Caenorhabditis elegans: one gene and its partner. The protein of the gene in region 1 purifies or fractionates together with the protein of each later gene. This does not show direct contact. Each region holds a gene or a part of one and is shown on either strand. Other genes may lie near its edges.

Region 1 (4,957 bases):
GAAGTTTGTTGGTGAGAGGGGAAGATGAGCTTCCTCCCGAGAGTATACTTTGTCTATTTGGGAAGTTGATGGAACATGGAACTTTTGGTTTTAGTTGCAAAACTAACGACAAACAAATTTTCTAGACTAACTTGAAACGCCTATAACTTTGCCGGAAGTTGAGTTAATAAAAAATTGTTTATTAACATATTATAGAGCTCAAAATTTCCTACAACTTGGTAGTTGTCAACTTTTTGATAGCTCTCCTCATCGCGGAGATATACGCGTTTAAAGTAAGAACAGTGAGAGAGTGTGGAGGGAGGGGAGACGCAGTCGCGCTCGTTGTCTGCGTCTCTTTCTCTCCCACGATCTTTTACAACGACACGTTAAAACGTTTGTAACTCTGCGTAGAAAACAGCTATCAAAAAAGTTTCAACTAACAAAATGTGAGAAATTTTGTATAGTATTTTCAGATACCCCAAATTTCTCTGAAAATGTTCAAAATTTCCTCCGTCAAATAGCAAAACATTTTCCATTTGCATCCCTAATAGGGTGTCCTACTCCAATTCCATTAAATTCTTGGAGAGAGTACATCCATTCATGTTAGCAGATGTGTAGTGTCTGCGTCTAATTACATCACAATGGGCTCGCCATTTGAAGCAAAAAGAGGAAGAGCTCTTTGAAAATTGAGCCGAAATGGAATTGGTGACGTTTTTCTAGGGTTTTCGGAGAAGCCTAATATCAAAAATTTTCCAATTGCGTTTTTTCGCAGAACCACAAAAAGTCATAAAGTTAGACCTTTTAACTCAAAATTTTAAAATTTTTTTCAGCTTTCCGACACCTTCAAAATACGTATAATCATGACCAGATTTCCAAAAAAGTTTGGTCCCGCCACGAGAGCTACAGTACCCCTTCAGAATTTTCATAGCTTAGTTATGTTTGCATATTCAAATGAAAGTTCTCAAAATGCCAAATATGAAAACCAAAAAAATTAGGTCTTGCGGTGAAACTGGGAATATTGCTGTGCCGTTTTGAAAATTTAAATTTTTTGATTTTCGAAATTTTTCGAAAATCCATAAATGTGCCAAAACTTAAAGTTTTGGGCGGAAATTAGAAGTTATAAATGCGTAAAGTCCTGAACTACGCAAAAATAATAATTTTTAACATCTCTGTAAGATTGCTACAGTACCACATACGTTTTCGTGACGGGACCCAAAAATTTCAGCATTTTCAGAACCTAGTCATGATTATACTTATTTTAACGGGCTTTTAACACTGATTTCAAAAATTTAAGTGAAAATTCAAAAATATCTTCTTAAAAAAAATCCCCCACCAATGACAGTTGGCTCCAAGTCGACCATGACGGCTCTTGGCACATGACGTCCACTTCCAGTTTCCGAGAAGAAAGTGCTGAAAGAGTCATCGGATCCTCCGAGGGACTTGTCAGAAGGCATTTGACCATCGGGCTGAATTCCGTGCTCCAGGCAGTAGAGCTCCCAGCAAGCATTTCCGATTTGGACTCCGGCTTGTCCGATGTGAATCGAAATTACTTCTCTCTGCAAGATAACTTTTTTTGTTTGTAGATTTTAAAGGGTTTTATTATAAAATTTGAATTCAGCAAACGAAGAGCTTCAAATTAAGCCCCATATTGGCTATGTTCCTTTAGATTTGGGTCCCGTCACGAAAGTGTCTACATGGGGTACTGTAGTTTTCGCGGTGGGACCCAGTTTTCTCAGTGAAACCTAGGCATGACTATACTTGAATTGAAGCTCACAGCGTGGTGAATTTGAATTTTTGAATCAAAATTTCAAATTTTCATTTTAAAAAGTTTACTACGATATCTGATATGTATTACAGGTAGACAGGTAGATCAAACCCTCTGAAAAATTTACATTCGTGGCGAATTTCAAATTTGTTCAAACCCACTATTTTATTGTAAAACTCAATTTTCAATAAAATTTCGCGGGTCTCGCCACGAAGAGTGCGTATTTCTTCTAGGAATAGTCCTCTCCTCCCTAAAGTTCCACCCGCAAAAAGAAAGAGAAAAAAGTCAATTTTCGCCCAAATTGGATACATTTTGTGTTGCTCGTCTCAACTCCTCAACAACCCTCCTTCGCCCCGTCCTGCTCGGCGCGGAGCATTTTTCAGTTGAATTGGCAACATTTCCTGTGTTTATGTGGTGGGGCTCCGGAAGTCCGGACCTGGCACCAGGTGTGCTCAATGAGTCGAAAAAATGTTGAAGGGGTGTTGAGGTGGAAGAGTTAATAAATCCTAAAATCCTAGTTTTTCAAAATCAAATTTCGAAAAATTGTTTTTTTTTCCTAAAATTGTTAAAATAATTTGTTTTGATATCAGGGTTCCTAACCAAGATGTGTCCTGATAACGCATACGCAGACGGCGATGGCGTCTGCGTCTCACCACTTCTTACACTATCTCGTCGCTAACTTTAAGTGTTTGTATCTCAGCGAAGAGCTGAGATATCAAAAAATTTCAACAAACAAAATGCAGCACTTAACATTTCCTACATTTTGTTAGTTATCAACTTTTTGACAGTTGCTTTCCGAACGGAGATATGCCCTGTTAAAGTTAGGAGGACTGGAATAGTGTGGCACGAGAAGAGACGCAGACAGCCCCCTTCCACACTGTTTGGCTTGCTACATTTTGAACGAGTATATCTCCACAGGGAAAAGAGTTAGAAGAAAAGTTTCAACTAACGAAATGTAGGAAATTTCAAGGTCTATATTTTGTCTGTTGACAAATTTTTAGTATTCACGTTATTTTTCTAGATACTGGTAGTTTTAACAAGAAATCAGATTCGTAAAGTTTTTATGGCGAGGTTTAAATGTTTCAAAATTCATTTTTCACAAGAATTCATTTCTAGCATCTCAAGAATCTAAACATTCAAATAAACATTGTTCAGAAAATCTAGAAAACCCACCATTTTGCAAAAGAGGAGCTACAAGTTGTGTTTGCTGGGCGACGAGTTGAGATGGAACAGAACACACACAAGTGGGGCTCTGTGCTCTGTGAGCCTCTTTTCTGAAGACGTGCCTTCTCTGCGTCTCTCCGTGTTGACACATGCTCCGCCCCTCCTATGTTTCTTTTTTTGCTCCGCGAGCTCCATGTTTAGGATGGGAAAGGAGACGACATGAAATTCCGAAAAACAGAGAAAAAACGAAATTAAATTAAAATGTTGCGAAATTGTTAAGAACATTGGTTTTGACATATTAAAATTCTGTTGAAAACTAATAAAATACAAAATAAAAAATTTCCTTGACAGTGTTTAAAAATCTTATATCTCTGCTGGTAATTAGCAAAATATAGCTTTTATGATGTTCTACATTTTGATATTTCCCATCGCGAAACTTCTACTTCATATAATTTAACTGTTACTGGGGAAAAAGTAACATATTGCCCAAAGGCAAATTAGAAAGGACTCTAAAGACCTAGTTTTGGTGAGAAGTTTTCAAAAAAAAGTTTCTACAATTTTTTTTAAATTTAAAATTCAAACGTACGTATCTCAAAAACCAGGTGAGTTATCAAAAATTGCCAACAAACAAAATTAAGCTCTTGAAATTTGATACACTTTGTAAGTTGACAACTTTTTGATACATTATCTCGTCGCGGAAATACATGTGTCTAAAGGAACCTAGGTGAAAGGTACATGCCAGGGTGTGCGGCAAATTTTCCGAAATTTGCCATTCACCGAGCTTGGTAAGTTTGCCGAATATTCCACAAAAAAACATCAAAAATATTAAAATTTTCGGATCCCAATTATTATTCTAGTTCAGTTTTTCAAAATACAGTTTGAAAAAAAATCGTTTTTTGTAGATAAAGCTGTATATCTCAAAAACCAGGAAAGTTATCAAAAATTTGTTCACTAGCAAATTGTAGACAATTTTTAGAGCTATACTTTGTTTGTTGACAATTTTTTCGTAGCTCTACAGGTTTTTGAGAGAAATCGATTAAAAAACAATTGAAAAAAAACTTCTTGCTTTGAAATTTTTTTGTAATTTTTCAAAACCTTTTCGCAAGTCAGTTGAATTTTTTAAAGTTTCTACATGTTAAAAAATTAATAATTAAAAATTAATTTTTACATTTTCCAACAACACATTCTTCTCCCCACCACTTCCACCAATTTCCAGCCATCTGCCCTCTCTGGCTCCGTGAGCCCTCAGCAAACAGTATCAGGTTACCCCTTAGAGACTCCGCCCAACTACAGTAATCCAAGGAAATAGTGTGTAAGGTGGAGAGAGCCGAGAGAGAAAGCCATCTGGAAATGAGCAAAAGGATTGGTTTACCGATGGAAATGGAAAGAACCTCCTAATGCATTCAGATTCAGAGCTCTGCGATGAAGCTTGCGGTGACTAGTATTCAGCTGTGTATTTATTGGCCTTTACTGCTTAAAATGTATTCAAAACTAGTATAATTTCAAAAAAATTCCTTTTTTTTTGTTAAATTTTAAGTTTTTCCCTACTACCAATAGGATCCTAGGACCTTATCACAATTTCTAACACTCAAATTTTGATGAATTTGGAATTTTTTGGGGGACTTGGGACCACTGTTGTATGAATTTTTAAGCTGATGATCTTCCTTTTTCATTCATTTTTGATAGGGTCTCATATTCTTGGAAGAACTGGAAAATGATAAATTTTGAGAAGAAAAGGCTTTGAGAAAAAAGAACGAAGGGAATTTTGTTGTGCAGTTTTTGAAAATTTTTGAAAAAAAATCGAAAAATCTCAAATTGTCTAGCTGAATTGTTTTTTTTTCAGTTTGTGTATTTTATTGATTTTGTAAAAAAGAGTTTGACGATAGCTTTAATTTTACAGAAAAAATTCGGCAAAAAATTTCAATTTCGATCAAAGTTAAAATTTCGAGAATTTTCAACATTTTTTAAACATTTTTAACATTTTGGAGTTAGCCCCAGTAACTTGCCGATTTTGTTCTGAAATTTAAAATTTATTGTAAATTGAAAATC
Region 2 (5,675 bases), on another chromosome or scaffold:
AATTTTTTTCGATTAAAAACATTGAAAACATTTGAATTTACGGTTTTCCCGCCAAATACCTAGCGAGACCCAACCCTTGGGGGCGGAGCGTTTTCACACAGATTTTTCTGCGTCCTTATATTTTTAAAACTGTTTTCCCTATTTCCAGCATGCCGAAGACTGTTCCTCATCGTCGGGTCTCTTCCTTTCCGTGACGTCATCAATGGTTGTAGTGTCACGTGGCAAACAGGCGGCCATATGGGGTACGATCTACCTGGATGCTCACAAGGAAGAGGATCGGAATCTGAAACGTGGAAAGCCGTTATTCCTGTGCGAATCGCGGCTCAAATGGCTCGAGTACGATTGGGCTGAGCAGGAATGGCAGCGGGTTCCACAATGGTTCAATATGACGAATTCACAAGCATTTACCAGTAATATTCGGGATTGTCACTTGTTTCAACGCTAGAGCTATAGAATTGTTGTGGAAAATTATTAGATGACAAAAAATTGTAAAAACTCAACTGGCTATTTAGATTCTCTAGCTGTACATGTTTTTGTTTTCTTTTCGATAAATAAACATTTTGAATTTTATGTCTCGAAACTTTAACAAAACAAGAACATGGGAGCACTGAAAAGAACGGGAAAAAGTTAACAAAAACAAGAAGAAGAAGCGATTGGAGCTGGGGAAAAAACAACAAGATAATATGAGTTAACAGAAAATTTGAAGAACACAACAAATAACATTGGAATCTATTCCTCCATAGCATCCTCATTGACAAGACTGATGCTTTCGACTCGAGAACGTTCAACGAAGCGAGATGGGTTCAGGGAGCGGTTCTGTAAAAGTTAAAAGATTACAAATAGGGTTTTTTAATTAGAAATATTCCAAATTTGCCCCTTGTTCCGAAATTTTTTTTAATTCATGCTGAATTCAGTTTTCGATTTTCAGAACTTTTTAGTTTTTGTTTAAATTCCGACAAAACTGAAGGAAACTCGTTGAAAAACTGAAATCAGAATAAAATAAAGATTTAAAAAATCTCGTAAATCAAAACTGCTGTGAAAATTCGGTGTTTGAAAAAACCTTGGACGACTTCAAGTTGAGATAAAAACTTTTGAAATTTTTAACATAGATGTTCGGAATCCAGGGCAAGTTTGGAGTAATTTTTTTTTTTTAATTTCCAGAATTTTTACGTACAAAAATAGAATAGTTCCAGACGGGGAAGACCCGTTTGTAGAGATTAAGCATCACAGAATCTTGGGCATTCAATTGCTGATCGAATCGGCATTTCATGTTTCCATGAGTTCCAACGGCTTCCTTAATATGACCACGACGTCCGGATGGTGTGTACAATTCGACTGGTTTGAACCATTCAATGTCTTCTGGAAAGTGGGAAAAATGAAATTTTGAAACTTTGAATTGAAATTGCCGAACCTCTATTAAAGAACATGTATCTGACAACAACGGCGCGTCGATTAATTTTGTATGGATGACCGGCGAGAACAGTTCTTTTGAGCACAATTCGGTCAGGATTGCTGTCGAGAATCGATCCAGTGGCAACAAGTTCCTGAAACGTTTTTCTTTTAATTTTTGATGTTGTTCCAACATTTTTCATTTATAATTAATGTCAAAGTATGGTAAATCACTAGATTTTTTAAGAAAATGTTCAAAAATGTCATGAAACTTGGCAAAGCCAAAGCTCGAAAATGCGAAAATCGGCAATTGACAACTTTTAGGCAATTTTCGAACATTTTCTCAAATTTTTTAGCTAAAATAAATGTTATTCTCAGAAAAAACAAGTGATTATCTATAATTTTAGGATAATTTTAGATGAGAACAACTTCGTGCAAATAATTTCATTTTGAACCGCATTCTATTCTTACCTGCCTTCCCTTATCGTCCTGTCTAAAGCACAGCACCGTTGCCGGATTGAAAGTGATCGGCGCGTAGACTGTCGCCACAAATGTCTTCTCAGTCGGCATAAATCGTTCCAACTTGAACTTATCGCCAGGTGTATTCGATGAGAAAACGGCGTTCGCCTCGAATTGCCGGAATCCAACATAGAAAATGAACTTTTGATTCTGATCCGAAGTGATTGGAATTGTGCAAGATGGATGTTTCTTCAAAACCATATTGAGAACAGACATTTTATGCTCGTGAGGCAGCAACTGGAAGAGCACCAAGTTTTTGGCGTCTTTGTAAGCTTCTAGGACGGCGACTGGAACATTCTCGATGAAAACACTTGCAAATGCTCCATTGAACTTCTTATCGGCTACTGAATCTGCATCTACATCATTTCCACCAATCTTTGACATCACATTCTTCTTGGTGTTTCTATAATTTGCAAATTGGAAAATTCTCGCATAATCCAGTGGAAGATTCTCTTTCGGGTCCCAGGTAGACGTTCGGAAACTTTTGAGTCCGCGGTATTTTTGGAAAGCAATTCGAGCTGGCATATCCATCGGTGTATCCACCTCATCTGGCCATTGAGCATTTTCACGCTCTTTTCGGTATTTTTCAACTTCTGCCATATTGATGTCTTCATCAATTCCATCATCAAACATCATTTCAGATGCAGTAGTTTCACCGGCTTCTGATTTCAAATCATCCATAGGCTCTTCTTCTTCAGAATCATCCTCTACTTCTTCATTATCACTATCATCCATATCCTCATCGGAATCTTCTTCGTCTTCGTCATCCTCGTCATCCAAAATCCATGCTGCTTGATAAGACGAAGTTCCTTTTGGCACACGACGGAGCTCCTTATCAGCTTCTTCAAGTTCTTCCCGAGTTGGCCATGTTTGTTCTCCGTCCATAGAATCTGGTGTGATCTCCGTTTCTGTGTTCTGGCGTTTATCATCAGATTTGGCAATTATCTGAGCTTCTGGCGTTTTGTTGTGTGCTTTTAATGGATGAGGATCGACTGTTGATTCGATTTTTGAGATTTGAAAATCACCGAATCCTGGAAGATGAACCAAATTGTTAGCATTCCATTCAGGACCTCTGAGATATCCCTGGGCGACGAGTGTGCAAGTTTCTCCAGTTTTGTCCGAGCATTCCAAGTTTTCAACAAGCATATAAGAATGTCTGGCTTGAAGAGTCAATGGCTTCTTTTTAGTTTCATTCAAGATTCGCAAAAGTTGAAGGTTATCTGTGACAGAATCAGCTGGCATAACTCCAGCATTACTCATACTCCATTTTGAAATGATAAATTCGATTCCTTTTCTAACATCTTCCTTCTTCTTGTGATTTGCAATACTCCCAAGTCCTGGAACAACACTAACAATTGTTGGAAGTCCATTTGCTTTGATAATCGTTAAAAGTTGCTCATCCCATTCGGAGAGCTCTGCAGACATTGGCCACAGAAAACAAAGCACATCAGATGCTCGAATCGCATCAAGAACACCATCAACATTATCCTTATCTGGAGTAAGGAATGATACACGAGATTTGAAGCGAGGAATCGCAAAGTCAATGGTGGATGGAGAAGTCGTTTGAATAATTGTTTCGTCACATGTTGCCAGCTTTTTGATGAACTCTGTTGGGCGAGCTCCAACTCCGAGAGAAACGACAGTCTGAAAATTGTCGTTTTAATACTAATTTCCAAGTTGAAAAAACCCTACCACTAGACACGGAGCATTTGATGTTCTGCGTCTCTCCATTGCATCCGCCATTTTTTGATCTCTCGCCATTTTGAGCTGATTACGTCGAGCATCTTTGGAGATGGTACGGTGGGTGGAATGAGCAGAACGCGTGAGCTGTTTGACACCTTCTCGTCCTGAAATTCGAAATAAATTTAAATAAGTGTTTAATAGGGAAAAAATCCCTGTGAAGCTATTTGAAGGACTTTTAAAATCGGTAATTACCTCGATTTTCAGATGTAATCTCTCCTTTCGTCCGTTTTCCTTTCCAAGACTTGTGGGGCTTTGAAGGTTTCTTGAACACTCCCGCACGATGGCCAGTTGTACTCATCTGGTAAATAATTGTTTCTTTATTTAAATTTCCTTTACTTTAGAATACTTAGATAAATCATAATTAAGTACCTGGAATAATAACCAACACCAACTGACAAAAAAACCTGAATACTTTGAAACTACAAGGCAATAAATTATTCATTCCATGCAGATTACAACAGTGAATTTTTTAAACCGGAAAACAATAAATTAGAGCAATAAATATATATAAATAAATACTCTTCAGAATATGTACTCGAAAAACCCAACAAAATTGTGGTGCAAAAAGGGAAAAGGGGGGGGGGGGGGGGAGAAGAAGTCGAACCCGGTGGAAAGTAGGAAAAACGAAAAGATACGTAATTGAACAAGAAACAAGAGAAACCACCACCGGGGGCGATCTCTGAATAACTAGAATCGGGTACAATACATCACAGTTACACTCATTAATAAAAAAGAATATGTGTTGTGAGGATAAAACTTTTCTGGTTGGGGGAGGGGCAGGGCAGGGTTCGAATTGAATAAAATACTGAGTAGACATTTAGATATCATTTCCGGTGAAATCTCCGTACTCCCAAATGTTCTTTCTCGACTTGCGAGCAACTTCTTCGGTAGTGTTGTAGTCATTGACAAGAGTCTGCAGGCGTGGCTCACGGCGGTGATCAGCAAGAGCGAGTCCCTCAGCAATAAGAGATTTACCGATGTCGACCTTCTTGTTTCCACTGTCGTAATAAACCTGAAACAATTTTTTGTAATATTTTGAACATTAAAAAGAAATTAAAACTTACAGTTACATATTCTGAAGTTCCGACCTTGTACTCACTGTTAATGAATACCGAAGAGTGACCAAACAAGTACTGGGCGAAAGCATCAGAAGTGAGTTGGACGTAATCCTCGTTTGGAAGCTTAGCAAGAGCAAGGTTATATTCTCTAACTCCAGCTGGGAAATTGGCAAATCCTGCTGGAATTTGAGCAAGCTTGACAGCCTCAATTGTCTCACGATTTCCGTAATCAATGTAAACAATCTCTGCTTGCCCAGCACGAACGCTCTCGACCTTGCAACGGTACCATTGTCCATCCTGAGAGAACTTGGCAACGCACAAATCTCCACGCTTGGTGGTATAAGATCCAGCGAGTGGTGGATGTTCGGCAAGAGCTTGTCTCATCTCGGTTGTCATCTTTTCAATTTTTGGCCCATCTTCAATGTTTTGAGCCGAGAAACGAAGAGCTCCTGGAGCAATATCAGTAACAGCGACTTGACGGAAGTTCTGCTTTCTCTCAGATGTATCTGCCTGTTGTACTTCAACTTCCTCTTGGTGTTGCTCTTCCGTGAAGTTGGCCCAAATGTTCTTCTTAGCTTTCTTAGCTTTGTTTTCGGCGGAAAGAAGAGCGTTGTAATGCCCACTTCGCTCAGCTGTGAAGTGAAGAGAAGCAAGTCCATTCTCTACAAGAGCTTCGCTTAGATTGATTGCTCGTGAAGTATTTCCATCTGGAGACACATACAAGTATCCAACAAAGTTTCCATTCTTATCGGTGCTCTCTACTTCTAGTTGAACCTCGTGTTGGAGGACAAGCTTTCGGGTGAATGCAGCAGCCTCATCGGCGAATGGCTCAGCGGCTCCAGTCGATACTCCTCCTGGTCCAACACGAGCTCCCTTCGGGCAGTTAATTCCTCCCAACAAAAACGTGATAAGAACAGTCTCCTTTGGAATGTAAATGCGAAGACGAGATCCACCTGATAGGAACTC

Evidence for each region. Proteins that work in one complex are often made in the same cells at the same time.
Region 2: the proteins of mec-12 (region 1) and tag-151 fractionate together in Caenorhabditis elegans (co-fractionation; one large-scale study listed by BioGRID). This does not show direct contact.

Annotation. Positions count from the first base shown.
Region 1 is NC_003281.10:3,136,215-3,141,171, forward strand, and holds the start of mec-12 (Detyrosinated tubulin alpha-3 chain), read right to left. Parts: upstream 3,021-4,957; 5' UTR 2,921-3,020; coding exon 2,918-2,920; intron 1,536-2,917; coding exon 1,313-1,535; intron 1-1,312.
Region 2 is NC_003280.10:4,708,568-4,714,242, reverse strand, and holds tag-151 (Pre-rRNA-processing protein TSR1 homolog), read right to left. Parts: upstream 3,967-5,675; 5' UTR 3,950-3,966; coding exon 3,844-3,949; intron 3,756-3,843; coding exon 3,601-3,755; intron 3,553-3,600; coding exon 1,861-3,552; intron 1,545-1,860; coding exon 1,412-1,544; intron 1,360-1,411; coding exon 1,175-1,359; intron 817-1,174; coding exon 730-816; 3' UTR 553-729; downstream 1-552. Other genes in the region: F10G7.10 (E3 ubiquitin-protein ligase), read left to right, coding at 149-445; tsn-1 (Staphylococcal nuclease domain-containing protein 1), read right to left, coding at 4,469-4,663, 4,716-5,675. UniProt on the Caenorhabditis elegans protein: Required during maturation of the 40S ribosomal subunit in the nucleolus.